4 linked regions of the Schizosaccharomyces pombe genome follow. The gene in region 1 interacts genetically with each later gene. Each region holds a gene or a part of one and is shown in the gene's direction. Other genes may lie near its edges.

Evidence for each region.
Region 2: mutations in hip4 (region 1) and ftp105 together harm fitness more than expected from each alone (negative genetic interaction), as found in Schizosaccharomyces pombe (2 studies listed by BioGRID).
Region 3: mutations in hip4 (region 1) and spn2 together harm fitness more than expected from each alone (negative genetic interaction), as found in Schizosaccharomyces pombe (2 studies listed by BioGRID).
Region 4: of hip4 (region 1) and dbl2, changing one suppresses a phenotype caused by changing the other (phenotypic suppression), as found in Schizosaccharomyces pombe (2 studies listed by BioGRID, with this or other methods).

The regions. Positions count from the first base shown.
Region 1 is NC_003423.3:655,612-662,118, forward strand, and holds hip4 (histone H3.3-H4 chaperone, HIR complex subunit Hip4), read left to right. Parts: upstream 1-3,013; 5' UTR 3,014-3,473; coding exon 3,474-4,490; 3' UTR 4,491-4,620; downstream 4,621-6,507. Other genes in the region: hsp3103 (ThiJ domain protein, glyoxylase III), read right to left, coding at 712-1,497; rrp1402 (ribosome biogenesis protein Rrp14-C), read right to left, coding at 4,773-5,474. UniProt on the Schizosaccharomyces pombe protein: Component of the HIR complex, which functions as a histone chaperone that cooperates with cia1/asf1 to promote replication-independent chromatin assembly.
Region 2 is NC_003424.3:1,784,453-1,793,451, forward strand, and holds ftp105 (Ubp5 interacting protein Ftp10), read left to right. Parts: upstream 1-1,917; 5' UTR 1,918-1,985; coding exon 1,986-2,005; exon of another isoform or gene 2,006-2,047; coding exon 2,048-2,090; exon of another isoform or gene 2,091-2,152; coding exon 2,153-2,185; exon of another isoform or gene 2,186-2,253; coding exon 2,254-2,900; intron 2,901-2,998; coding exon 2,999-3,206; intron 3,207-3,262; coding exon 3,263-3,640; intron 3,641-3,739; coding exon 3,740-3,994; exon of another isoform or gene 3,995-4,046; coding exon 4,047-5,240; 3' UTR 5,241-5,903; downstream 5,904-8,999. Other genes in the region: gus1 (glutamate-tRNA ligase), read right to left, coding at 1-633; protein saf5, read left to right, coding at 6,173-6,826; mrpl1 (mitochondrial 54S ribosomal protein uL1m), read right to left, coding at 7,030-7,791; poly(A)-binding protein Crp79, read right to left, coding at 8,141-8,999. UniProt on the Schizosaccharomyces pombe protein: Required for the localization of ubp5 to the Golgi apparatus. Involved in detoxification of cadmium ion.
Region 3 is NC_003424.3:987,512-993,951, forward strand, and holds spn2 (mitotic and meiotic (sporulation) septin Spn2), read left to right. Parts: upstream 1-2,693; 5' UTR 2,694-2,738; coding exon 2,739-2,778; exon of another isoform or gene 2,779-2,827; coding exon 2,828-2,902; exon of another isoform or gene 2,903-2,960; coding exon 2,961-3,089; exon of another isoform or gene 3,090-3,200; coding exon 3,201-3,282; exon of another isoform or gene 3,283-3,344; coding exon 3,345-4,014; 3' UTR 4,015-4,240; downstream 4,241-6,440. Other genes in the region: tif308 (translation initiation factor eIF3h (p40)), read left to right, coding at 886-911, 951-1,057, 1,237-2,177; DNA-binding transcription factor Moc3, read right to left, coding at 4,241-5,767. UniProt on the Schizosaccharomyces pombe protein: Plays a role in the cell cycle. Involved in a late stage of septum formation leading to the separation of the daughter cells. Involved in the correct orientation of forespore membrane extension during sporulation. Binds phosphatidylinositol 4-phosphate.
Region 4 is NC_003421.2:306,722-314,319, forward strand, and holds dbl2 (DNA recombination protein Dbl2), read left to right. Parts: upstream 1-3,592; 5' UTR 3,593-3,817; coding exon 3,818-5,965; 3' UTR 5,966-6,174; downstream 6,175-7,598. Other genes in the region: qns1 (glutamine-dependent NAD(+) synthetase), read right to left, coding at 1-314, 361-1,370, 1,571-1,687, 1,732-1,760; SPOM_SPCC736.02 (uncharacterized protein), read left to right, coding at 6,462-7,322.

The DNA.
Region 1 (6,507 bases):
AAAATGCAAACAAATTTGCTTTCCGTGGTCTTACGTAGATTATAATACTAAACAAAATCTCCGTGATACATAAATATATACATTTCGAGGTTATCTAAATATACTGTTTATACTTATAATTAATGCAATGCAAATGATACTGCAATCTAACGTGTCACTAAAAAAAACCGGCAATGACAGTAGCCGAGTTTAGGCTTTGCAAACGCTCGTTTACGTTAACTAAGTTTAGGAAATATTAAACGATTCCCCAATTTTTAAAGAAATGTAAATTTCTTTTTCAGTTGAATAAGTAGCTGTATCTATTCAGAGGCGATGTTCTTATAAGTATAGATGGAAAAGTCTTCCATAAAGAAGGTCATGGCAGAAAAACTTGAAAGTGTTCGAAGGAGCGATTTGTGGTACTGTTGCTTGTTGCTACGGTGTTTTGTATTTACAGATGAATGAAAGTATATATCAATATAGATTCATAAATGTGAAATCGTTTTTTTGAAAAATTCTGACAAATTTTTTTTTATAGTATATATTCAATCTTATTCATTTCTAGTGTATGTAATCCACTTTAAATATCATCAATGATTTTGAGTGTTATTATTCATCGGCGTCAAATTATGTTCGCATCATTAATTTTTCCTGTATACATAAATTTCATCATACGTTCAAATTAATCGTTTAAAAAGACTCATTATCCAATAGCTTTATTATCGTTTCGCTTTACAAAACACGCAAAGCCGTTTTCGCCGTAGATGTAGCACTTGCAGGATTGGAACCAGTAACTAATCTTCCATCTGCTATTACAAAATCACCGAATGGGTTTGGTGACTTGATAAAGTTGGCTCCTGCATCATTCAACATATCGTCCAAAACCTCCAAGTTGTATTTTTTCAGCGCTTCCATAAGTTTGGATTTATCCTCGGCCACCCTATCGAAGGCGGTAACATCTTTACCACAGACAATTGAAACAGAGCCGTCGGACGTTTGACGCTTCATGAATGGAAGTAATGTAGGACCATGGCACACGGCAGCTACTACTCCCCCATTTTCATAAATGGAAGTACCAAGTTTTTGCAAATTTGTAGCTTTTGGAAAATCAAATAGAGTGGCATGTCCTCCTGCTACGAAGAAAATGTCATACTTGTCAGGATTCACTTCGTCGGCGGTTTTGGAATTTTGCACAATCCTCCAAAACATATCATCCTTATTTTCCAAAACATATTTTTCAGCTTTGGATAGCTCAGGGCCACTTGCGATGTGATCATCATAGCTCAAAAACTCTTCACCCTTAGATCCCTTGTCAATTGCCGGACCTGCTACTGAATGATCATCGAATTGGATTTTCCCTGATTCAGTAACAATGTCAACATTGAAACAAGCATCTCTAAATACCAAATAAGGATGTAACAATTCTAAAAAAAATGCTCCAGTATTCTCACCATCTTTATAAAATGGTCCATAATAATCAGAGCAAGCAATTAAGACATTTCTAGTTTTAGCAGGCATTTTTGAGTTAAAAATAGTTTGTATAGTGCTTTACAATGTATAACTCCTTGAAGACAGAAAGAGTTCGATGAAATTGTTTGGATTTTCGGTGAAGACCATCCTTTTATGTCTTTTTTTTGGACTCTAAATATTAGTATTTCTTCGATAAATTTTCGTTTATCGGTTTTTTACGTAAACATTAAGTAAAGTGCAACGTCCACTGATTAATTATTTCCATGTCAGTTACAGAAATTTTCTCCTTAGACGGCATAGCTCTTTTCATTGCCTATTGGTATTCTAGATGCAGCAAGTTCATATAGCTAACGACTTATTTTTTGCTAATTCACCCCTAAACTTGTAATGTGGCTACGAAATGCATTTTGCATCTGGTTTGTTCGAAATTCCGTATGACAGCAGGAGCAATGCGTAGCCAAGTATTAGTGATGAAAAAGGCCAGGGTCTCGTACACTGAGCAAATAAATTCCTCGTACAATAGCAGGTTTGCGTATTCACATGTTTACATTCTAAAAGTCGAATAATAGACGAACAAAATATGTCTGAAGCACTGTTATAATCACACAACGAAAGAAAAAGAGATGTCGGGTAATTTCTGGTTCACCGGCTGAATCAATAATTCGTTAACTTTCTTTAACAAATGTGTATTCGACATGAATTTTTCTAAAAATCAAAAAAATGAACTAACTACCACTTCCTGCTAAATTTTTAATAAAAGGATGGTGAGTTGTAACGAAAACCACAATATACTATAAACCACTGCTGTATATGTTTTGTTGGCACTAAAGCAAACGATGGTTTCTTTTTGCCTTGGTAGATCAGGAGTTGTAATCTAGAAAATTACGAATAAAAATATTCGTTGAAAAAAAATTCCTAGGATGTTATGACTTTATTCTTCGATAGAGTCGCAAATGTCTATACTACAATGAATGCGACCTGCAGTAGAAAGGGAATAACGAATTGGGGAGCAGCTAGCTATTTAGGAGAAATGATTATGAGAAGTAAGCTTATATTGAGTACAATTTGTTTATTAAGAGCTTAAATGATTAAAATGACAATTTCCCATTCATACAGTTCTGTAGTCATGATACTGTGCACACATGAACAGTTTTCTTTACTTAGTAGTGGAGTATTGATAAAGCAATGCCAACTGAATACCCAATTTCCATGAATAAAGTTTTCCTTAAAAACAAAAAATTCAGATCAATTAATCATTTTCATTCCTTTCTTTCCATTGAAAATCTCCAAACTCATATATACGTATAGTAATTAGAAATGATAATTTATCTCTTCATATAATTAATAAATTTACCCTATATATAATGTAACTTTTTTCTGTGTACCACAAGCTTCTGTAGCTCAGTCGGTGGTAGCATCCCTCTCATATAATGACAGGGGAAGGTCGTGAGTTCGAGCCTCACCAGGAGCATTCTTTTTTGCCCTTTACTTTTAAGAAAGTGAGGATTGCTGCGCTAATGTTGTTCAGTATAAGTTGCATTATAACGTGCTATTTACTTGATCTATCCCCATACTGTGGGAATTGTTCGTACTCGTTTCAAAGTTATTACCAAATAAAGTATTACTTTACCATCCTCCTAATCAAATTATTGTTTATCATTTAACCACTTTGCATTTTTTGTTGCTTCTAGTTCAATCACTTGTTGTTGCACTCTCTTATAGAAATTTGACGCAGCGTCGCAGAACTTATCATTTATTCAGTTACAAAAAAGTGCAAGCGTCCAATTTCTCATTTTTTGGTCTGCAGTTTGTTTCTTTAATGCTATCAACTCTTAGCCTTGTTCAATTGTTAAGAGTGCTCTTGAATTGAAAATTTCTATTAACTTATCCATTGGATTCAGTGAAACGACGGCACTAAGTCTTGGACTCAATTGTAATTAAAACTACCATTTTCGCTTGTTAGGATTACTTTTCCTTGCAAATTTTTTCTTCTACGTTTTCACTATACTTCGCTTTTGTTCGTCATGTCGCTTTTGTCTGGCGACCAACGAATTATTTGCTTGGAAATTCCTTTGCAAGGCAAAGAAAACGTACATATTAATTTTGCAAAAGAAGTGGAAAAACTTTATGGACCCTCTGTTCAGGAGAATTCAAAAAAAAATGATCTTTCAGACTCAGCGGATTCTGAGGGCGAAAGTACACATGTTGATGAGCAACAAGCAGCTAATGGGGCGGCCGATGGTACACAGACCATAAAGAAAAAGAAAAGGAAAAGGAGGTACGCTGACGAATACTACGATAGAACAGATCCCTTTATTGATGATGCTGAGCTCTACATTGAAGAGAAGGCTGCCGCTACCAAAGATGGATTTTTTGTATTTAGCGGTCCACTCGTGGCCGAAGGAGATACTGTGAAAATCGAAAGATCAAAGAAGACTAAGAAAAAGAAGAAAACATCTTTATCCAATGCTACACACCCTGCGCCAGCTGTCTCTGCGGTGGTGGCTTCAGCGGATGCTAGCTTTGACGATAGTAGGGATATTGAATCTGAGGACGAGCAGCCATTAAGGACTTTGTCCATTGAAATGGCTGCTAAGAATGCTTTAAAAGAGGCAAAACGGGAAAATGCAAAGGTTCCCAAGGATGTCTCTAAGAAGGAAGCAAAAACAACGAAAAGCAAAGAGAAAGCCACAAAAAAGACATCCTCTTCAGTGCCCAAACAAAGTACGGGAGAAAATACCAAAAAGGCTGTTAAACTTGAGACACCTCTTACATCTACACCCCCTATACCACCTCTCTCTGAACCAAAGCATTCTCCCGCTACTGTTAATGAGCACATTTCTCCTCCAAGTGCTTTAACTAATCCTTCTACGGAGGAACTCAAACCTTCGACCTCCCTACCTATTGATCAGGGCAATGCTTCTGTCGTTTCGAAACCTACTCAACAAGTAAGCATCGTTCTTTCTCAGAATGCATCCTTACCCGTTGATGAACATCAAGCTGAACCAGAGAAATCAATTCCAACTAGTAGCATCCCATAATTATACATATGTAGTGACCTGAAGATCTGTCAATCGATTTCTGTATATTATTTTTATATCATATTTTTTTCGTTAATAAAAAGCAATTATCATCACACCGCATTGATTATCTATTTCTTTTTTAAGGCAGAATTTTGTTTCAGTGTTACTGTTTGTATGAGTAAATTTATGTATTCATTCATAATCAAATGACAAAAAAAGCTATTTAAACCCAAACCTCCTTGTTAACCATTAAATCCCAACAGACCAGTATAATTTTTGAACAAATTTAAAGTTAAGCGTCTATTTTTTCTTGGATGGCTTCTTCTTTTTTGGTGCCTTCCCCTTCTTAGACTTTTTACTTTCTCTACGTTTTTTCAAATTTTCTTCTCTACGTTGCTGCCGCATTAACATTGCTTTTTTTTCGTTGTCCTTCCTTTCCTTCCAAGCGTCTGAAGACTTTTTCTTTTCCTTTTCTTTGCGACGAATGCTCTTTTTAAGCAATTGCTCGTTATCTTTGAGTTTTTTCCCTTCTGCCTGAAGCAAAACTCTATGCCATTTATCACTTTCTTCAATTTTTCTCCTTTTCTCTTCGTCCATGCTTTCAATACGGCGTTTCTTGGCTTCCAAATGCTTTAGAGCGCCAAAGACATCAGTAGGACCTCGCTTTTTTCCGGCAACTTTTAGTTTACCATTCGAGAATTTGTCATCTCCGACTATTAAAGTACCATAAGTAATAGTGCTCTTGTGGTTGTCATTTTCCTCGTCAGCAATGTTATCAGAAGAGTTCCCAGTGTCATAAGCTGCCACTTTTGATTCCTGTTTAGCCTTTGACTCCTTTTTAGCTAACTTCTTCGCTTCAGCACGAGCTTTTGCCTTTTCTTTTCTGCGCTGTAAAAGTAGAGCACGGTCTACTTTTTCAGTAGCTTTTCTTTGAGAGCGAAATGTCTGAATCTTTTCAGCAAGCTTTGCTCGTAAGTCATTTTTTCCTTCAGTTGTTTCCATTACAGACCGATGATAAAGGAGGAATCACAAATAATGGAGAAAGAGGATGAAAATACACAATCAGAATTGGGTTAATAAACAAAATCCGATACAACCCGATAAAAATAGAAAAGGGATGTTAAAATTTCTTAAACGAAAAAAACTTTTGAATTGATGATTGATAATAAATAAAATGAAGCCTAATTACCCACGAACAAAAAAAGAGAAACCCGATAATATGGAGTTTGCGAATCCAAAAACAATTGCTTTGAAAGAAAACTTAATAAAAGGGAAAAAAAGCTAAAGTAATACAAAGATTCAATGGCTATTCAAGATTGAAAGAACGCCTTTTTGTAATAAAGACATGTACTTGTAGTGTGGAAAAGACTGAAAGAAAACCTCTATTTCGAAATTTAACGTAATACGTTATTGTATTTACCAAAAGTTTACGCGCCGTTATTATTGTTTAATGAAAAGGTGCATACCGTTAAGCGAGATAATGGGTAGGGTAATTTGTATTTAGTCCGCGCAGAAAGCCACAATATTGGAAAGAGTAAATAGTCTATTTCCGCGTTTATGAGTTTCTCTATTTTGTAAAAAAAAACATTTATGAAAATAATTTTCTATGTTTTTCGTTATGACTTTGATTCCACAGTCATACTGGAAAGGCTAAAGACGATGTAAACAAATACCTGAACCAAATGTATTTGGAAGGGATGCGATGATACGCAAGCATTGAGTGTTTTAAGAATATCCCTTATCCAAGAGGAACAAGATTGTTTTCAGTTGTTGGATTTTATCAAGAAGCAGCCTCGCATAATATAAAGACGGATGTTGGGTTCTGAAGAAAACGGCAATTCCGTTTTTAAAATCCCCATAAGCATGTAGGGCAGCATATAGGCCGAAATTAAACAAAAAAGAGGAACTTATGATGATAGAGGTCTTCTTATTTTGGTGAAAATGTACAATTTCGTTTTTCCTACGGAATGGAATTGAATTGCATTGTCGCAGTCGCTGTCTTGAACCTCATCCCTAGATACTTGCGAATTGAAAT
Region 2 (8,999 bases), on another chromosome or scaffold:
AAATCTGGTGACCACCTTACCATCAATGGCATCAGGAAGACCGATCTCGTAGTTAGGACCAGAAGATTTTTGTTTTTTGCTAATATTAACTGCCTTGGTGAATTCTTCCATGGTGACACTCACGGCATTTTGAGAATCCATAAACTTGTACCAACGAGCAAGGTTGAAATACTGGCCAGTGCGTACGGCACCAGCTGCCATGTTGTTTGATTTTAAGGCACCCCAAATAGAAAAATCAGCAGAGGTGAGGGAATAACCCACAAAAAGAGAGCGCATAATTAAATGGTCGTCTAACTGAGCAAGAAGTGAAGAAAGCTCAAGAAAGTTGTGGTTACCAGCTAAGGCAGAGGCAGTTTCCACCCAACTCTCAACCAAAGAACGATCGTTTTCGCCAATGAAAAGTTTAGGATAGACTTGAGAGAAAGTCTGTAAAGCCAACTTGGAACCGAATACAGGAGAATCAGAGCCGTTAAGCTGAATGGAGACGTTCGATTCCTTGTTTTGTTTGTCTAATAAAGCAACGTCCTCATACTTGACGGAAATGCTTCCTGCACCAGACAGATTCACATAATTTGCACATGCAACTGCACCATAAGCAATGGGCTTTGCTTTTAATGCAACACTAACTGACATTTTCCCAAAACCGGTGGTGAAAATTGTCGAACTTGGTTCGTGGTAAGTTGGTGTCGAAGTGATTTTTAGGGTATTAGTGTATGGTAAAGGTATGTTTGCAAAACACTAAAAATCCAAACCAGAAAAATTCGAACGCAGTACGAAGTTGACCGAAAAAAAAGGATTCTATTTAAGTACAAATTAGATTATAGATAAGGAATTCAAGTTCATGTCTGACCTTGATTAATTTTCTTTCCAGCATTTTTCGCTAATCTGCTAATTTTATACAGATATGAACCGAAACCGAGGGTTTCTCGTTATACTGTTTACCATTTTCTAACGTAAATCGGTATACCGATAAGAAAAGAGAATAGATACATAATAACAGAGTGGAGTTGAAACAATCAGAAGAATGGAAGAAAAGTCATTTTTTTGTTAATAATTACCTGTTAATCAGCTATAGGATTAAAGGAAAAAGTAGGAAAAATCATCTACCAAGTTAATTAATAAGATCTTTATCATCTCATTTATTTAGTTATCTTGCTATTGACAATTTTGACGATATCAAATACATATATGACATTTCAAGTACATTGAGAGTAGAAAAAGAGCACCTTTTATAATTGAAATTATTATAAATTGGAAAAAAATCTCACTTCAAAATAGATAGCTGCTTTGTTTATTTTACAGAAATAGCTAAAATTTGAATACAGCCATTTATAATGTACTTCATTGTATATAATATAAGGAACTCTAACATATCACGGCATAGTCTAGCGATTCATCTACTGAACATGTAAATATATCATTGTTTGCTTCGACAGATGTCTCATGTGGTTTTGCCGCGTGAGTTATACAGTAGATGAATTGTTTACAGCTATACAGTTTCCTTGTTTTTTTTATAACTGAGAAACCTTTGAGGTTTATCTGATGGCACGGTAATTATGAGATAACGAGTAGAAACCAAAAACTCACAAACATTTAAATGCAGTTCAGCAGGTAGCTGAAGTCTCTTTGACAAGCTGTATTTCTTCCTTAATTCTCATTTCGTGATGGTAATCAATTGTTTTCCTTACCCTGCCTCCTAACAAATTGCAGTTTGCTAAAAAGTGTTTACCAAATAGTGAGTCATAGTGCATTGACTGTAAATGTGAAAATTCGTCGTAATGCTAACGATCATTAAATGTACGGTAGAGCTAACAAATTAACTCGAGCAATAATAAAATTTCGCAATATGAAATAATGCATCTTTTGGAAACTTAGCGCGCGAATAAAGTATACACATGGACGGGTCTACTAGTACCTAACGATTATCGATGAAGCTGCAGCGTTTGTCAAGAGCACTTTACGGTTTTCGCATCTAATTAGAGAATATGGGAGGCCAAGAGTCAAAGTAAGTAACATTGCGAAATTTTCGTATGAGCTAACTGTTTAGATTGGCATTTCAGCGAGGAATTGCAAGATTAGCTTCTCAACCGGTACGGTTTGTGTTTATGGGTGGATGATACGCTAAGAGAACATTGCAAGCTAATTCTAGTAGGATATACCGTTGGATGATGAAGTTTGGGTTTCTGTATGAAATTTTTTTTATTAACTTGTGTAAGACGCTTTTACTAATGTATTCGTTTTTATGTTTATTAGCTTTGGAGTGTACCTGAAAGTTGTCCAGAAGTTTACGATTTTTTTCCCCCAGGTCTCATTCGTGAGATGAGGGATCATGCCTTTGTAAACCTTGAAAAATTGCTGCTTGTATTGACATCTCGTTTGTTTGCGTTGAAAAATGACAAAAAGTTTCCAAATCCTGAAACGGCACCAGCGAGTGAAGCGTTAAACTGCATTCGCCTACTTACTAGAATCATTCCTTTTTTGAATGAGAAACTCGATTTAGAAGAATGGCATCAAAAGTTTTGGTGGAGCCTTAGAAAGAAGAGAAATTTACCAAAGGAAAATTCCGAATTAGACCTTAGTAATTTTCAAGACGATCTAGATTTTGAAAATTCCATCTCCCAAAAGAACGAATTCTCGCAGAAGTCTCCTTCAGTCCCATTATCTCCTGTGAGCACCTTTCCTGCTTCTTCCATCTCCCTTGATGCTTCTTCAGACGTCTCTGCCGCTGACGTATCAGTAGGTGGTTCTAGCACAATCAAAGAAATTGGCTCTATTGAAGAAACTTTTACTCATGAAAAAACTTTAATGGAGGAATTGCTGGACACCGTCTTTCGTTTGCTTTTTTGCAGAGGCTTTACGCTTCCTCTTTCAAGTCCTGAGCAATATGCATACATTATATGGTAAGTATATATGTATATATATATATATTTTTTTTTTGTTTTTCGTTTGCTTTTTTATATTTGGTTAAATGCAATGTGTTAACTAATCACTTTTGCAGGGAAAATGGAATTGGTACAACAGAAACCCAAGAGAAAACCACAAAGGAACTTGCGTTTAATCGCATTGAGGTTCTTCGTTTGCTGTTAGTATTGATTTCTAAAAGGCTGTATCGATCTTCTGAAGTAGCTTCTCACACCCTTACTTATTTGACCTGTGTAGCAAATAAGCAGCTTATACTAGTTTTTCTTTATTCCCTTATAAATACTGTAAGTTTTGGCTTAAAATTTACCTTTTTTTGTTGTACAACTAACTTAGTTTTTAGACTTTGCGACTTAGACCTGATAGCTGGAAGGCTTCGTATTCAACTCTAGTACCTTATAATGATTCTAGCATTGCACTCTCAAAACTTACTTCTCAAATCCTTTTGCTTTTTTTAGATCACACCCCTCATGAAACAACAGTCGAATACTTCAGACAGAGACTCAATCTTTCTCCTGGCGCTGCTATCGAAAATCAGTATAGATTATATTTTTCTCGACTTCAATTACAAGCTGATTATGAATTTTTAGTTAACGAACTATATCGGCTATTGAATGCACCAGTTTCCGCTATCTCTGCCTATATTTCAATTGTACAAAAGCCTAATATCGCGTTTCCGGAAATTATTTTGTTTCTTTGGCAAGCAATTTTATATAATAAAGTATGTTCAACGGTCCTTTTATATATATTACATTATTTGTACAGTTGTTTAATTTATGTTGTTACGCGTTCATTATATTTGCTAACTAATTTAAAACAGCGTTTCCGAGCATTTTTGATCACTTCTCCTTATGCTACGGAGTTTTTAACTTCTATTCAGTTTTATGCACTTAGATATCGTGAAGACAATGAACATTCCGGCCTTGTTCGCATTTGCCTTTTTATCGTTCATTATTTATCATGCGAGAAGGTTCTTTGTGAAAAACTAAATAGAAACTGTATGAATGCACAATCATTGATGTCTTCCCTTGGGTTCTCAGTCCCACCAATGTCTTATGCAGAGTTTTTGATTATCGTAAGATTCACGATTAATTGTTTATTTTAATTTTATTACTTACGCCTTCCAGTCTAGCTTTCATATTTCAGCAGTGAAGAGATCTCCGTTTAGCAGTTTATCTCCTGTTATATTGTTGACCATATGCAATATTGCACCATTTGTTGAAAACCTAAGTTTCGTTACGTGTGCCAAATTAATGCAACTCTGTTCATCTCTTTCATCTCCTCGGTTTCTTTTTCGTAATCCGCGCAATCATCTGCTTCTTGAATACCTGTTACAGGCTATTTCTAGTATAGTTGAAAACAAGTTTTCTCAAAACCCTAATCTCAGTTATTCTATTATTCGCCTCCAGCAAGTTTTTTTGAATCTTAATTCTATGAAACTTCCTGCCGTTGCTCAGACTAAATCACAGCCTTTAGTGGCCCTCAATTCGGAAGGAAGTAGTGATTTTGAATCTAAATCATCCGATAACACCTCCTTAGATGGAACACCACTCCAAAATACTGACTTTAAAAAAGTTGCTACCGTTGAAGATGATTCACCTTTCGATGAATTAGATAAATTTTCCTCCCCTTTTAGTAGCAGTAGTTCACGCGGTGGCTTATCACATATTTCGAGTAGAAATGTTTCGATTTCTGTCCCGACAGTCCTTCAAGATGTATTCTCAGATTCTCCATTGGTTCTGTCTAGAAAGTTGCGTGGGAAAATACCGGAAAATGTTTCTAGTTCAGAACTTATTAAAAAATGTGCATCCAATCCGTTTGGAAAAGATTTAGAAATTGACTCAAATTTGTTTGCACCTTCCAACTCGTGGTTTAATTCTTGGCATTCAAGACTTGAATTGGATTCTATTCTAGCCATTATATCTCAGTTTTCTCTACCTGTATACAAGAAAATGAATGAAGAATTATCAACTACTGACGAAGCTGTTAAACTATTAGCTAACTCTGTGCTAAATGATGTACATCCTCGAGTTCCCAATTTTCGCTACTTTATTTGGAGTGTCCCTATGAATAATTGGTTTCAAAGTCTTGTTTGGCTTTATACTTTGTCATTTGATGAAAAAGGTTTAATGGCTACTCCCTCTTTATTTACAACCTCTAAAGTGTACAAACAACATGGAAATATCATGAAAGTTGCATCTCCTGAAAACAGTTCTAACTCAATGGAGAATGCCACAAAATCTATACTTGACAAACTCGATTTGCTGTATTTACAGCTGCCAAGTAGTGTCAACCACGATTCCAGTTTACGCAACAAGTGATTCTTAAATTCAATGCGTAAATTAAAGTATACTTTTGTCCTAAAAAATATTTGAAGAAAACCCTGCATGCATGTTATGGTATCTTACTTTGAAAATTTATTGATTAAATTGTTCACTAAAAAATTATCTTGGAGGATTTGCATCCACATACTGCCATCATTTAATTATATACTGATGACCAGAATCTTGCCTTGCTAATTTTGATTTTTGAACTTTTCGATTTGTTTTCATTCTATTAATTAACTAAAAACTGGCTTGGAGAATCTTCTGCTCCAACCTTGTCACTAGCTTTAAAAAAGTCTTTCGAAGTTTGATTTGGAAAGTTGGTGTTTGAAAGTCAATCTCGTATACTTTAGAAAGACCCACCTTTATGAGAGAAACGATCCACTGATGCTAATTCATTACATGTATCCAAATCAATGTATAACCTTATATAGCAATGAATTGGTTGCTAAAAAATTCTTAGCTTTATTTCGCTACACTTATAAATCTGTTTACTATATAAAATAAAAAATCCAATTTCAAAAGTTTTGAGTCCCAATTTTTTGGGTAACGAGGATTACTTCATAAAGACCTTAGACCTTTCCTTTATTTTTTCCACAAAACTATTTATATTCATGAGTTTGTTTTGTAATTGCAATGAATAACTAGCTTGTCATTTACGAAAATTGCATATCAAAAGTATTTGAGTAAAATCGATATCCTGTTTGGCATAATGGTTCAATTTATAAAAAATTCGTGTGGTTAAGAGTAGAAATATATTTTCGATTTTGCGAAATGCTTAATATGCGAAGATATTGTATTTGAGTACTTCAAAAGAATACAACGCACAGTAAACCTTTTCTTTCAATAAATTATCAGGTAGAGGTGGCCTTATTACTGTTTTTTAATAATTTTTATGCTTAAATACCTATTGGAAGCAAGAAGTAATTATGATTACCAAAATTGACTCACTTCCAAAGGACCTAATTCGCAAAGTTGAAAATGGTGAAAAGTTGTTGCCAAATCAAGAAATCGTTTATTTTGAAGAAAAAACAGTCCCCTATAAAATTAGAAGTGATGAGGAAAGTTTTCCTTTGGGCAAATTGATAACTTTATTAGTAACTTCACAGAGCTTTATCCTTTTTGATGAAGAACAGAATTCTGGCTGGAAAATTCCATATGAAACCATTACTCTTCATGCGAAACAAAGCAAGGATAAGCCATATGTATATGTTCAATTAGAGGGTGAAGCCATTCGACCCTTGCTAGATCACATTCTTAAATTTGAACGGTCGTCAGGAACATTGCATGAAGCTCCTTCTACCGAAGATGAAAATGAATTCACAGATGATTTTTTAGAACTAACATTATATGTTACTGATGTTGATTCATGTTACCAGGCTCTTTGTACTTGCCAATCTCTACATCCGGACACTTTTTCCTCAGATAATGATGTTGAAAACGCGAGTATGGGAAACCCTATGTCCTTATTTTTTGATCCAAATCACCAGTGGGTTACGGCTGAAAACGTAGATACCTCAGCTTGTGATAACAGATTTGATTCTCCGGAATCGCCTGTTCTGAAATGGCATCGCACAGAGTAACTTTCATAATGTTGTATTCTAACGTTTCATTCATACTTTTTAAAAAGTAGTTTATGATAATAAATAAATATAAACAGGCTTCTAAATTTACTAGATAAAATATCATTACACATTTCACTAATTTGTACAAAATTAATCATGTAATACATATTACAAATGACAAGACTGTAGACTAAATTTCCCATGCAATAACATTTTAATCATTATTTATACTGGAGAGGAATTGCAATAGCATGTGAGGCGGAAAGATGAACATGCTTTACGGTAACTTTAACTTTTCCAGGCAGTTTGGCCAAAGTAAACCGAACATTTGATACAAGTGCTTCGATGTTTTCTTGTAGCTCCTTGTCGCTGAACCCTAGTTTTCCAACCGGCAAATTTATCGAGCCTGCATCATTTTGCCGATAGTCAACAGCTGTGAGGGCAGATTCAATGAGTGGCTTCAATTCATCTGATATAGTACCTCGTTTTATTGAAGGCATAAGACGTTTTGATCCTAATAATTTAGCAACTTGTGGTAGTAATTCTGCCGAGTTGGGATGAGCAAAGCACTTTGAAAATTCAAGGGGCTCTGTTTGAATTTTTTTTACTAAGTCTTCTGCACCAACATAGGTTGCACCCAATTTTAAAGCTTCATCTGCAGCTGCACCTTTAGCAAACACACAAATTTTAGGAGGCTCTTGAAATGGATGAGGAAAGGCAATTTGACCACGAGCTGACGGAGCGCGTCGATTACTTTTTAAAGCAATTGAAAGCATATAAGACCCAACATATGGAACAGAAATGCTCACAGATTTGAGATATTTTGTGGCTTCAGGAACTGTCATCGCAAGAGCGGGAAAATTGGATTTCTTGTTTAGTTGAGAAATAAACCTTTTGCAGAAACCCTTTTGATTTTTAAAATTTAAAAATTCATTATGTGACAATAATGTTTGCCGTTTACCTAACGCTATTAATGAACTCATGGTTTTTAATCTGGTTCGTCAAACTGTCACCAAGCTACTGGATGTCAGTCAATGAACCTGCTAAAATCATAAATCTCTAAACAAATCTGATCCAGCTGTCAACTTTCGAATTAATAAAGAATTATCTTTCAAATCAAATTTCCTTATAATGTTTTTGATTAAAGACTAAAAATAAACGGTTTCGTTTAAATTCCACGTTGTGGTAGTTGTAAGATACTGTAGGGTTATACTAGCAAATCCATCCGTTCACGATGTATATATTTTAAGGAGTTAAAAGTTTGTTCATCGGAGTTTTGAGGGATATAGCATTATGAATTTTGTTTCATAGTTATATCTTCACCGCATCTTGTTAAATCTGCGTCAACTGAATAGTTGTTGGTGAATTGTTGTTAACCTTTGTTGTTGATAAAAAATTTTCCTTATTTGAATCTTTAATATGATAGGAATTCATTTTTTGGATATTGGATGTAGCTTCTGGATAGCTGTCCATGTACCCGACAAGTGAAAGCATGTTCGTTGACTCATTACAGTCCTCATCTTGGAAATGTGAGGGCTCAACTGTTACGTACGTAAGAGTTGTACAGGTTGTTGCTCTTGCTCTTGGCACAAAGTATGCATTACTCAGCTTTTTGTTGTGAAGCATGTCTTGTATCTTCTTCAAGTTGGTGGCTGTTGAACCCATCTTAGCAGACCCTCGGTTATTTAGTTTTGTGTTAGCATGGAATACCAATGGTTTTAACAAGTTTCCTTGTTCTCCGTCATGGCTCAATTTTCCTGCTTCTTTCTTTATATCCAAGTTGCCTGATAACTGTCCACTAAGTTCCTTATTTTCTTGCTTACAGTTAACATATTCATTTGTCTGACTGGGTTCTTTGTTTTCACCAGTCTTAGGCTCATTCTTATTTTCAACCTTACTTGAAAGGGTCGTGGGATTCTCAGAGATTTTGTTTGTAGAAGACTCTATTGGCTTTCGGATGGTAACAGTAGAGCTTCTTTCTGGTTTGACGAACAAAGCTTTGTTGTCTTGCTGCGCTGTTTGTTCTGAAGTAGGTTTGTTTGCAAAAAATGCTTGCAATCTACGAATTCTGTCAGACTTTCGCTCCGCGAAGCAAACGAAAATCCTTTTTTTCCCAACCATCATTCCATTCAATGTGTCTTTGGCTCTAACGGCAGCCTCTATTTGACGAAACGCTACGAAACCATAACCT
Region 3 (6,440 bases), on another chromosome or scaffold:
AACTCCAAATACCATACAATTGACTCCTTTAATAAGAAACATAAATCAAACAATCTAACGGAATTTGAAATCGTTTCATTTATTCACTAAAATCTACGCTAAAACATGACACAACTTCATCTAGAAATTACATCTATGTCATCAAACGACACCACAGTTGTAATATAATAGATGAAATTAAACACGTCAGAAAACACCAGCTGCCCTACATAATACGACCAAAAGGAAACATATCATGTAAGAGATCATCGCATAGAAAGACAGCAAAACAATTAGGTAAAAAACCTAATCGAAAAGCATGCCTTCAAAGAATTAAAAGTCCTCACTCTGAGGGCAACGGTGCCTCCTATCATCATCCGTGTTGAGTTCTGTGGCTAGGTTAGGAAACCCAAGCCGGACGTATACTATAGAAATGATCCTATGGAGTATCGTCGATAGTGTTTTGTTGAGGATAATGACCCGTATATATAGTAAATATAACGGAAAAGCAGTCACATTCATTTCCAATCAACGAATAATGTTGAACTTTCAAGTATAATGCAGTGTCAATTACACTATATTAAAAAGACTTTGCAAGGCGGTGAAGCTGCTCTTAAATTACAATAAGCATGAAAATCATATTTCGGTAAATTAGTAAAAGAAGTCATGAAAATAGAGCTTAAGGCCGAGAAAACAAAAAAAAAATTTACAAATTTTTTAACTAGTTAGAAAAGGTTTAATAAAACTGGTAGGCTCCTCTATTCTATAACTTGTAATCGCCGACAGCCATGGCTTTAAAAAGTTGCTACTTGTTGTTACTTGTCATTAAACTGGTGAACACTAACTCCTTTAGAAGTTCGTACAGCAATTTGCACTTCAACCAACTACTTGGCAGACTTAAAAAACATGTCTGATACAACTTCATTGAATGTGTAAGAATGACTAAGATATATAAATAACTAATTCAGTAGTCCAGAATTGGAGTCTCCCCCTATTGAGCGGGTGGAATTAGAATCTTTACTTGTAATGAATATCATCAAGCACTGCCGTGATTCTTTTCCTAATATGGGAACAATTGGTAAGTGTAGTCATTGGAGAATAAGTTTTCCCTATTTTTCGAAATGATAAAACTTGCAATTTTTCTGCATCAAAGATGCAGCTATGCATTTGTCAGCTCAGTAATGCTCTACTTAGTGAAATTTCTTATCAACCACAGTTTCTCTCTTGAAATAATATTTTTAACTAACTTTCGTTCAGGTCAGCTTGTTGGTATTGACATTGATGGTGTTTTACAAGTCAGTAGCAGCTTCGAGTCTCCGTCTGTTCTTGAAAATGAAGAGTCTGCTGTTAACAAGTCTGTTTCCGGTAAAGCACGCCAAGCTCATACTGAGGCGATGCTTAATCGTCTTCAGTACATTGGTGCTGTTACTGGTCACGTTGGTTGGTATTTGGGAGCCTATGTTAGTTCATTCTTAAGTAGCCCCTTTTTTGTAGAAACGCAATATGCTTATCAAAAGGCAAACCCCAACAGTATCGCTTTTCTTTATGATTTGTCTCAATCTTCTAATGGAACTTTGTACATGCGTGCTTATCAGTTAACTCCAGAGTTTATGGCTGCCCATGAGGAAAAAACTTGGACCGCCTCCTCCCTCAATAGCCACAACTTGACTCCTTCCAATGTTATCCGTGAACTTCCTATTGTTATTCACAACTCTCATTTGGCTACCTGTTTGCTCCACTCTCTTAGTGAGCCTCCTACTCCAGCTTCTACCCTAACCGCCGAAGCTGCTCTTGAAGATTGTGAAAGCAACTTACCCTTGACTGAAACGTTCAGTAACTTTGAGGTTAGTTTGGGTACCAGATATAGAAAGAATATTGAGTTATTATTGGAGTCTACTGATGAGTTTCATTATGAGCAAGGAAATCTTGGATTTCATCAACGTCAACTCGCAAGAGAGCAAGCTAAAATTCAACAGTGGATTGCTAAGCGTAAGGCCGAAAATGCAAATCGTGCTGCCGAAAATTTACAACCTTTACCTTTAGACGATTGGAAGCGAATCTTCAAGCTCCCTGCGGAGCCTCGACTTCTTGACTCTCTATTGATTAGCTCTCAAATTATGAAGTCTACTCAAATAGATGAACAAAGTTCTGCTTTCTTGTCTAAGCTTGCCGGTGTACGAAACGCTTATGCTTCTTAAGCTACTGATTGGTAATAATCGCTTAAATTTAGCGCTAATTATTTGTGAATCTGGTTGAAAATTTTTAAGGACTTTGATCTCTGTGAAGCGGTTGCATGTATTTGTTTATAAAAAATGGAGCATTCTTCTTCACTCTCACTAGTTATACCTCGTAGCATTAAAATAAAAGGATCTACTTAATTATAAAAGTTGTTTTGGTTTTCTTGATACAGCATATTGGTTTGTTGAAATACAATGTGCAAAAATATACCATGATTGTAATTATAAGAAACAGTTTAATCTTCAATAGTGCATTCAGTTGCTGGTAATCTACTTGTTTATCGTATTCGAGTTTTAGGTTACATTGCTAATTTAATATATTTTCGGGCCCTTATACAACATCGAAACACTTTTCTATTAATAAAATATATTGTTAAATTTTGTTTTCTCTCTGTTAGATTATTTAAAAAAAAAATCGTAAATATTGCCGAGACCTTTTTGTTTGTTTTGACTTGCTTCACGTTACAATGTTGACTTGGCCAAAACCAACAAATTCCAAATTCATTCAATTCGCAACTTGCAATGGAAGTTCCTTCTGCAGTTACCCTAAATAATTATGTGGGTATGAAAACAAAAGAATGTTGATAAAGAGTCAAAACTAATGTTTATAGGGTTCGATTCTATCACTTCGCAAATTAACCGCAAGTTAATTCGTCGTGGTTTTCAATTTAATGTAATGGTGGTTGGTACGTATTATTTTTATTACAGATTTTCAATTATAATGATGTTAACAGTTTCAAATAGGACCGTCAGGTAGCGGAAAAAGCACTTTGATTAATACTTTATTCTCTGCGCACTTGATGGACAGTAAGGGTCGTCTGGATTACCAAGCTCCTTATCGCCAGACAACTGAAATCCATGTTACAAGCCAAGGTATGTTGATTTTTTTATAGTTAGGTTTTCATCTTTGATTGAACTCATTGAGCTGGCTTCAATGAGTCAGCAATCCTTATATTTATTATGGTTACATTGCTAACCACATAGTCGTTCGCGAGAACCGTGTTCAATTACAATTAAATTTAATCGACACTCCTGGATATGGAGATCAAATTAATAACGATAAATGGTAAGTTTGATCAGTGGAAATGGAAATTTCTATTCCTGCACAGCAATTTCTAACTATAATAGCTGGGAGCCTATAATTAAGTACATTAGGGACCAACACTCTTCCTATCTTCGTCGTGAATTAAATTCACATCGCGAGAAACGTCTACAAGACACAAGAGTACATTGTTGTTTATTCTTTATTCGCCCAACTGGACATTCTTTGCGCCCTATTGATATTGCTGTCCTCAAACGCTTAACAGAAGTCGTAAATGTTGTGCCTGTTATCGCTAAGTCTGATTCATTGACTCTTGAAGAAAGAGCAGCATTTAAGCAGCAAATCCGTGAAGAATTTGTTAAACACGACATCAATTTGTATCCTTATGATTCTGATGACGCCGATGAGGAGGAAATTAATCTAAATGCTGCCGTCCGAAATCTTATTCCTTTTGCCGTGGTCGGTTCCGAAAAAGCCATTATCGTAGATGGAAGGCCTATTCGTGGTCGTCAAAACAGATGGGGGGTTGTCAATGTGGATGATGAAAACCACTGCGAGTTTGTTTTTCTTCGTAACTTTTTGATGCGAACTCATCTTCAAGATTTAATTGAAACGACCTCATACTATCATTACGAGAAATTCCGCTTTAAGCAATTGAGCAGCTTAAAAGAACAGTCTTCCCTCGCAACTAGAATGGGAAGTCCCGCACCTGTGTACCCTTCTGAACCACATCTCCATACAGCCACCGCTCAATAGTCTTCTTCCTAAGGTAATATATAGTATGTTTAGAACAAAGACTAAACCATTTGTATGACTGTCGTACCGTAATTCGTAAATTTCGGCTCTTTTTACACTATGCGAATCTTACAAATGAAGTGTTTATCTTATTAACGAGAGATTATATGTTTGATGCGTGATTTTGTCTAGCTATTATACAGTTCTATATCAATATTTATTGAAAAGCATCAAAATGATTTTAAAATTAAAGTACTGGTCGATTTAAGACATTGCAATCCATAAAATGTTCTAGCATCAATCTTCCGAAATGAGATTCGATTTGTGCCCGAAGTTTAAATTCTTTAGAGTTTGATGCAAAAACATTTTGTAGAGATAATACGCATAAATAGGAAGTGCGTAATACTGCAATATCTGTGCATTCTTCTTGCATTAATTGCTGTAAGCCAGAAAGAACGTCATTATTGTTTTTGGTAACGGCATGTCCTACACAATCTATAACTTTAGTAAGAGGACTTCTTGATGCTGAATACAAGTGCACATGATATTCATCTCGCCAAGCAACCATTCGTTCTCGATGCAAATCATCAGACAAGGTTGGTTGAGAGAGAATGTCCAATCCAATAGTAAACAAAGAATCCGAAACAGGTGCATGACTTCGAGAAACAGAAACTTCCGATAAAGGCTTTCCATTAAACCCCCAGATACACCCACGAGGAAGAATTGCAAAAACTAGTTCACGAACGACCATAGCAATCAATAAGCTGACATAATTTGATTTGGTAGACGAAGACCAACTTAACTTTCTAATAAAATTATTACAAAAATTGAGATCATAGGCTGGGAGATTGAGCTGAGTGAGAGTCAAAAATGCAGAAACCAACAGGTATTCAAAAGAATTGGGACCAGGCATTGGACAGCGAAGAGCTCTGGTCAAATGACTGTAAGCACCAAAAACGTCGAGCTTCTTAATAGACGCAAAAGCCATTAAAGAATTAGCAATACAAGGCATCGATTGAGCAAACTGGGGAACAGTGACTGACCAAAAATGCAAGGCTATGTTATTATCAAATTCAAATGCACAAATAGAAGGTACGACATCGTGAAAATAAAACGGAAACAGTTCGGAATTAAAGTTTGAAGGGAAATTGGAAACTGATGAAAGAAAAGGGTAAGAGGCCTGACCCACCGATTGTACAGAGGGTTTTGTAGACGAAGTAGCGCTAGAAGAATTATTTGTAGGAACGTTATGATTGGATTGAAGGTATTGATGCTGTTGATAAGCACTTGGAAATCCTTGTAAATTCATAGGTTTTTGATGATCCTGTTTGATTGGGGTAACGGTGGATAAATTGGAGGAGGAGGTCATCTGATTAAGATCATTTGTATTAAAATTGGATTGTGAAGAGCCGGAAAAAGTGTCTCCGGTTTGAGCGCTACTTGAAGCAATTGAAGTAGGTATCAATGGCTGTTGAGCAGAATGAACGCTTAGCTCAGGAGGCGATACACTCCCCATGGCTTGCATTTGAGCAGCTGAATTTGGATAACCTTCACATTCCCTATTTGTCTTTGTGCAGTTCAAACAAAAAGGTTTGGTTTCGTCGCACTTGATCCTGCGACGGCGACATGTTAAACATCCAGTTTTCGTTCTTCTTTTTGTGGGCTTGGGCGTAGGCTCGACGTTTGGGTTGGGAATATATAGCGGATTTGAATTAATACTACCCGTTCTATTCCGTTTCATATGAATTTCGGGATAAGAAACATACGGGTTCATAACTGCAAGGGAAACAATAGATAGAAAAAAAAAGAATAACAAGATAATAGGAACTAAACAAATCAAAAGTAAAGAAAGCCCGATTTGAAAACGCTACGCTGCTTGAGAAAAGCGCGCAAAGAAAAAACGCAAGCACAGAACATGAAATTGGAAGCCGATTTATACAAAATTTAAGCTCCAATTTAACAAGGAAACTAAGCACCTTTTTCGTAAAGGCCAAGAAACTCTTTGTAGTCTTTTTTTTAAAAAAGGTAGCGTTACTAACTCTATAATTATATATATATGAATACAATAAATTATTTCAGAATAACCGGACGGCCAAACTGTTCGTAATAACAAAAGAAAAAGCCCTAAAAAAACAAAAGAAGGTGAAAATCAATGGTCGTCTAGCAATTTGCTAGCAACTCTTGCACAATCAATAGGTTTATAGGAAGTGACTTGAAAACAAAACTAGCAAAAGCGACAAGCTCACCCAATTTACAAATGCAAATTTGGGTGAATAAAGGACTTAGAAAAAATGTTGGAACAACTTTCAAGTAGGAACCTCGACATTAGCGAGTGATAAGGCGGCAAATTTGATAAGCCCAAAGGCAACAACAATACTAAGAGCTTTTTATTTAGACGTTAGTAAAGTAGCTTGCTTGATACGCATTAGTACAAAAATCCAAAGAAT
Region 4 (7,598 bases), on another chromosome or scaffold:
TGACCGAGCCTGAATGTTCTGTAACGCCAAATTTTCAGCATTTGTTCCTCCGTTTGATCTAAATTGAGGGGTTTTGCCAGTTACTAGTGCGAATAATTTAACAACAGCACTGGTCATAGTGTCGATGTTCACGTCTGTATGATAGGACCCAATCAAAGAAGACAGTTCTTTCGCTCGACTCCTTGTTTCTTTAGAGGAATGTTCAGAACCCATAAACGCAGTATAAAATAAGTGGTTTAAAAGCTTTTTAGGATCAGTAGAACTATAGGATGGATCACCAACGATTCTTCTAACATCTGACAAAACCTGTGCATCTATTGAAGGTCAGTAATTAGGATGCAAAAGTTTATCGTTACTTACCATCTTCTTCCATGGCTTTGCAAACAATTCTGCACATGCTATAAACCAAAACAGCAGTAGAACAAGAATCCAAACCACCGCTCAAAGGCAAAAAGAATCCAGCTGCATGAGATCTCCTCAAATAATCCCAAAGCCAGCAAGCCGGACCAAAAGTGATTTCTTCCTCAGGTAAAGGAATAGTAACTTCAATTGGATCAGTTGGTTTTCTGTAAATATCATAGTCTTGTTGATAGCTACTGAGACTAAAATTGACATGAATACGTTCATAAGATGGTCTAGTGACACCTTGGATTCCATGTGATGGTTGGAAACGATACGAACGAACAGTATCAACGTCCACGGTAGCTGAAATAACCTCAACATCCTTCAAGGAGAACTGGTGTCCCTGGGCTAGCATTTTTCCATTCGCAAAGATCATTGATGAACCGTCATAGTAGAGACGACCACCATCACAACCCCTCTGATTAGAATATAGATAAATCCCACCGCATTTTTCCGTAGCATTTTGTATCAAGTTTACTCTTGTTGTTAGTTTACGAAGTTCGTGGTGGGATCCTGACGCATTGATAAATATCTCTACACCGTCCAAAGCCATATCAATGTGAGGACTATTTGGAGTAAACAGCTCTTCGCAGGTTTCCACACCAACAACGGTTTCATTGCATTGAAGAATGGCATCTCCAATAGGAACGGTTGTTTGGTTTAAAGACTTTGCAACAAAAGTAGGCAAGTAATGAGTTTCCACAACTCTTGGCCTTAACCAGGGAGTAAACCAACGAGACTCACGAAAATTTCCATCGTCACAAAGCCAAATCTTGGGACGGATTAACAAGATTTTTCCATTTAGAGCTAGAATACGGCAGTTGTGACGCATGGCTTTGTGCATTACAGGCATACCGATGTCAAGGAGAATGTCTTGGCAATCAGGATCGTGAATAATCGAACATAACATTTCCCAACTATGGTAGTAAGTGTCACTTTCTAGAAAATGATCTTCACAGCCATAGCCTCTAATGCGTTTGTTAATAGAAAGTTACAGTGCATAAAATTAATATCAAGGTAAAATACAAGTTTCAATATTGCAAGAAGATGAATAAACTCAACCGAAGTCGCACTCAGTAAACTTGACCATGGCTATCCTTCATGAAGTTTAAACTTTAGCTTATTCACTGATACACTTGCAACATTTAAATCCATTTCTATTACATACGTGACTTCTAATTCTGGACCAACACGAAGGCTTGCGTTTTGTCTTTTCGCCTCTTTGATGGAATCAATGATGCGTAGACGGTTTCCCTCAAAGTCCATTGCCCACTGGTTCAGCTGACTACAGAAGTTAGATCATTGAGACGAAAAATGATTATAGCATACCAAGATGCGATGGTTACATATCGTTCCATAATGAACTGAATGCTTAACTTGAGGTTTATTCCCAAACAAGTAATTTAACTTATAATGTTTTTTTCGTACTATAAAAGTTCCAACTATGAGTGAAGATCGAAGTTTCTATTCAAATGTCTATTCACGGTTATGGCAGTAAGTAAGAGCAGGAGGTAGTTGTCATAGTAGAGTCAAGTGTAAATAAAGGGTTCGCATCATATAGCAAAAATGCCAGTTTCCCTAAGTAAGAAAAAGAAAATTTAAATAATTTTAAAGACCCTCTCTGATATTAGTAAAAAGAACCTTAATACTTCTTATGCAAATTTTGGCGACTCTTCTAACTACATGTGTATTAATTGTACATTACTACATAGCTTAAAAATTGATTTATAAAATCAGAATAATTGTAATTTTTATTTGATATTGCAATACAAATTCTAGTTTTAGCGATATATCTTCTCAAGTGAAGTCATTTCTGGGACTTCCTTTAATAAAAAAATTTGCCTATCTTTTTCAGATATACGAGCTAATAAATGAAATTTTTTGATTTAAAGTCTGTCTGGTTTTATTAGTGTTACTCGCTTATAATTACAGGTTTTTTGATGATTATAGAGCAAGCTGATATCTGGAATACGCACAACAGTAATTACATTTTTTTAATAGTACAAAATTGTTTTAATTTTATCCTTGAAAATATTTCATGATTTAATTAATATACTTAGTTCTTGGAGCATATAATCGAAATTACTTAGCTTAAAGAAGAAGAAGCAAAGCGACAGATGCCATAATGGTTGATACTCATTTTTTAACTCCCCTTCAGTTACTTCTTGTTGCAAATTATAGACAGATGATTCTTCAGCTGCTCAATAAATTTAATAGTTTTAGTGATTGCAAAGATCAGTCTTCTTTTTTGAAAGGGTATTAATTAGAATTGACAAAAGATTTCAGGTTTATTATTACAATGAAACAACTTTCTTCATCTTCTTGGGCTTTTTTCTCCTAAATTTCGTCCAAGTACTAAATTTTAGGTAAATTTCTATCAGTGCGCTTAAACCAACTTTAATAACTTAATTTGTACCTATCTTCGACATGGTGATGAGAATTGCAAGTTCAAGATTTCGAGCAGAATTACCCTCTATAGGCCTTTTATGTTGCTAAAATTATAACATAAGTACTTTTGCACCTAATCGTATCATCAATCATCTTTGATGAATTTTCTTGCCTGCAAACCTCAAAAGCGATAGAAGAACAAAAGAATCAGTTTTATCTCCAACTGCTATGTTTAGATTCTCTATTATAATGCGACGATAGATACAAATTTACAAGATAAATAATTTTACATTACGAATATTTGAAGCAATCTGCCTCTGTAAGCTCAACTGTAAACTTCATGGTTTAAGGTGAAAAAAGACATCTTTTTTTATATATCATTATGTATACACACAGTCTGTCCCTATGAAACTATCAATCGGGATTATTAACCATTGTTTCCGTTTCTCGATACAGGATATTGAAAATTATCTAACAGTTTTGCTTCCTTGGGCACTAAGAGACCTTTTACTAAAGAAAAACCCATCAAATATTAGACCTTGTAGATTAGTAAAATTAATAAAAATAAGCATCTCTCTTGAAACCATCTCAAGAGATAATCTGCTTCTGCTTGCGTATTATAAAGTTACCTTCAATCATTTCGGCGTGTAAACAAGTACCTCATATCAATAACCAAAAGCTCAACTCGTTTGTAGTTCATAAAGAAAAAGAAAAGAAAAGGAAACCTTGTTTAAGGATTCTACAAAGATGTAATTTTCTGGCTTGAGATCATTTACTTTCCTAGATTTCAACTTTCTGCTGTATACCAACCATTTCCTAACTACCATCCAACAAAAGCACGTAATTCCCATTCCTAAAGCGAGAGCAATTAATGCTCAAATGAGGTTTATACATGAAATAGATATTCTCACTCTTATTCTTTAATTAATTATTAAATAGGGTGGTTTGTGAGTTTTTTTCAACAATATTAAGCTTTTCGTAAGCCACCTTTCGGAACTGCCTTTACAGGCTTTAAAACTTATATTCTATGGATACAAGTTCCAATGTTTTTCATTATCAAGTATTGTGGACGTCTGATAAAGCAAAAAAAGTAAAAGTTTGGAAAGATGGGACAATGCGCTTCCACAGCTTCAATAATCGTGGAATTCTCTACGATTCTGATAACCGAGTCGTAGATGATTTTTTCCTTAACAACAAGAGAATTGTTCTGGATTCTGAAATTGAATTTAATAGAACTATTGTTTACGTTGAGAATTTACAAACAACTACTGAAGCGAATATTCCACCTATACCGAGGAAATCAAAATTGAGTGAGACAGGGAAGAGGCCAGCTTATTTATTAAAACCATTCCAGCCTCCATTTCACTCCGCTAACTCAGATGTATCTAACAATTCAAATGGTGCTTTATCGTCAAATATGTTAAAAACACACGCTCATCATACAAATTCAACAAAATCCACGATCTTCCGGAACGCAAATTTGCAATCTTATGGAGTAGATGACTCAGATATTGGTAGTTTGAGATGTTCAAGTAAGCATCAACTGTCAGTAACACCGGAAATACAACCCAAAGCTAAGTTTAGACCAAACTCATATCTAGCTTCTTCTGTTGAGGAATCTAATCGAGCTAACAATACCTCTCCCTATCCCCCATCTAACTCATCCGTAACTGCGCTACCGAAACCTTCGAAAATTGCATATATCCCTGTTTTGTCAAAACCCAAGTCTTTTAATGGCACCTTGGTTGAAGATCCTGTAGAAGAATTTGGAGAAGACGACATAGCTTCTGACTTTTTTTCTTCCCCTTCTGCCGATCTCGAGGCAGATGATTTTACCACTCTAAATAATTCAAATGCTGGTCATTTGTTACAAAACCTAAGTAATGATAACGTAAGTGTCTCCGTGAAGGCATTAGAAAATGGAAATGAAGAAGTTTCTAATAATCATGCTCGATCTCCTCATTCTTCCCGCGCTTGTAATACCATACCTTCCAACAAAAACGATGGGCTAAATGATGATCATCAAAGACAAGATTCTTCTGTTGCAGAACCCAGTCCTACTTCTAAACGTCTCCGTTTGACTCGCCTTCCGTTACCTCTGCTTCGGAAACCCACGGGGAAACGACAAAACTTTATTAATATCACAGTTACCGACCCCTCAAAAAACTTGTACGAAAGAAGTGTCAAAACTGCTGCCGAGCTGGCATCGCTTCAAAATGTAACAGAAACAACTGATAATGAAATACCAAACTCTCCTGATTTTCTAGATGCAGCATCAGAAGAGGATGAACACATTCCTTCGCTAGATTCGTCATCTCTTTTAACACCTTTGGCTTTGCCCAACAAAAAAGCCTTTCAACCCGTGAAGTTTCGTGTACCGTCTTTTTCATCTCCTTTAGTTAAACCAGCATCTTCGTCCTCGTTTGGTAGGAGTCACTCTCACTTAGGCACGTCCCTTCGCTCAAACGAACTTAATGGATCTAGTGCTTCTTCTTCAATCTTTCTACAATCCAACAATGCAGTCAATCCTAACGTTTCACCTTCTACTGTGCTTGAACATGCCAAACATCCTTCCTTGGCCAAACATTCAGGTGTATCGCTGAGAACAGGCTTGTTGATATATCCTAAATATGCAAATGGTTCGAAAAGAAAAGACGGTTTTGGAGCTACTTCTATAATATCTTCAGGGGAACATTCGTCGTTGCCTAAAAACTCGAAATCCAGAAATGTGTCGGTATTTTCTAGCCCTTTTAATGTCCCTTCGTTTACTGTTTCTTCTTCGGACCAAGTCCAAAAGAAAAAAGGAAATGTTCCTAATGCTATTGAAACGGACTCTTCTCCTTCGGATACCATTTCATCCTCGCCTACTGTTCGAGCTGTAAATCTCTCACCCAGCAAAAACCAAAAGCCTCCGAAAATACTTACCAAAATTCCGGATATTTTTTCTAAAGCGGGAAAGAAATCTCCTATTTTACCAACTTTTCAAGAGTCTTGTTCGTTACCTATTGAGCCTTTTTCGTCAAACATTACGGATTTGCCATTTGTAAATACAGTAACACTTGCTTCAACGAGTAGCAAGATCAAAAGGGCAAAGTTAAAAATGCTAAAATTTAAGCATGCCATGACTACACAAGGACGCGATCTCGATTCGGACGAAGATGGTGACTTTATTTGAAATTAATTTTTCTTTCGTACGTTGAAACTTCTCTCTCAAGCCGACTTTGTTACATATAATTTTTAATTCAAAAAACAGTACTGAATTTTGATTTCTGGTTTCCTTCATGTATTATTATCAACATTTATTTTTCCATAGTTCATTTAGGTTTTAGCTATACTTATTTAGCTCTTTTACATATAATTAATTTTTTTTTTTTAAACATTAGATTTCAGCTTGTTTTTGGTGTTGTTAGTACAATTCTAGGTTTTGATTTTCATTTTTTAGTAGCACATACATTGCTTTTTCAAAACCTTGAGTTTCTTCTTTGAACCTTTGAGCAAATAAGTATCAGATTTATTCTTTTCTTTTAAAAAACCAACTATTTGGGTTATTATGAAAATGTTGTAAATATTTTAAGTTAAATTATCTTTTGTAGTCATTTATTTTCTATACATGTTTAAATTTTTCAGCACTAAATAGTGTCTGTTGGTGAGCTCCAAAAATCTTGTTAAAGATGGGTAAAAAGCGAAAACAGACCATAAAAAATGACTATAATGAAAAAATTACGAAAAGAAAGGTCAAAAATAATTTGACTGATGGAAAAGCTAGAGCGTTAACGGTTTTTGAGTCTTTACCTTTAGAAGTTTTAAGATTAATATTTTTGTTATCCAATAATTCGAATTTGGCAGTGACTTCTCGTAGTTTGAGACACCGATTATCTTTAAGGAATAATACGCCTATCTTCATGCCTATTGATTTTACTCTTTCAATGGTACCCAAAAGCATCATTCTCTCTATTCAACGTGGATTGCTACGCAGGTATTTTACACTTCAAATCCTTACAAAAATTGACGAATTAGTCATTTCGGGGTTTGTTAAAAAAAGCCCTAATGAAGATATAAAAGATGGTCGAGTTATACATGCAGGACACGAAGGTTTTATACCAAAACGTATTCTTTTCTTACCCAATGCAGAAGATTTCATTGCAGAGCTGGAACATCGCAACTTTTTGTTTAAAGCTTCTTCTCTTAGAAATGGTTTTCTGCTAGCATTAAAACAACGGAACATACCAGTTATTCGTCAAGTAGGTAAAATTGTTACTGAACGACTTATTTCTATACCTGATGATGAAGTTGAGTTTTGTTTCCTCACCTGGTTCGAGTACACAATGGAGCAAAATTCGGTGGAACTTTTGGATATAGTTTTTGGGTTTTGGAACAATATAATTGAAAAAAGATTTTCTAAATCTTTTATTGACTCTTACCTAACGAGACTTGTGGATATAGCAATTTCAAAAAATGTTACAGAGATCATGTACTACTTGATTGAAAAAGGTGCAATTCCTCAATTACCTAACCTTTTGAAGCTTTTTTAAATGCTTAAGTTTGTAATCAAAATTGCTCTAGCTTTTATATCTTATTCATCATATCATTTGCATCTCGTTCTATAAAATAAATTTTGTATTCGAGGTATTTAATATTCATCTTCACGTTCCTTTTTATATGCGTTGTTTCCTTTTTTCAAATAGATTCAATAAAATAACTTTTTAAAAACCAAAATTGTTATTTCTTTCGTTTAGTCAAAAACATACGAGATAACATTTCAATTTTGAGAGGGAATAACATGGAATTATTTTACGCATGTGTGCATG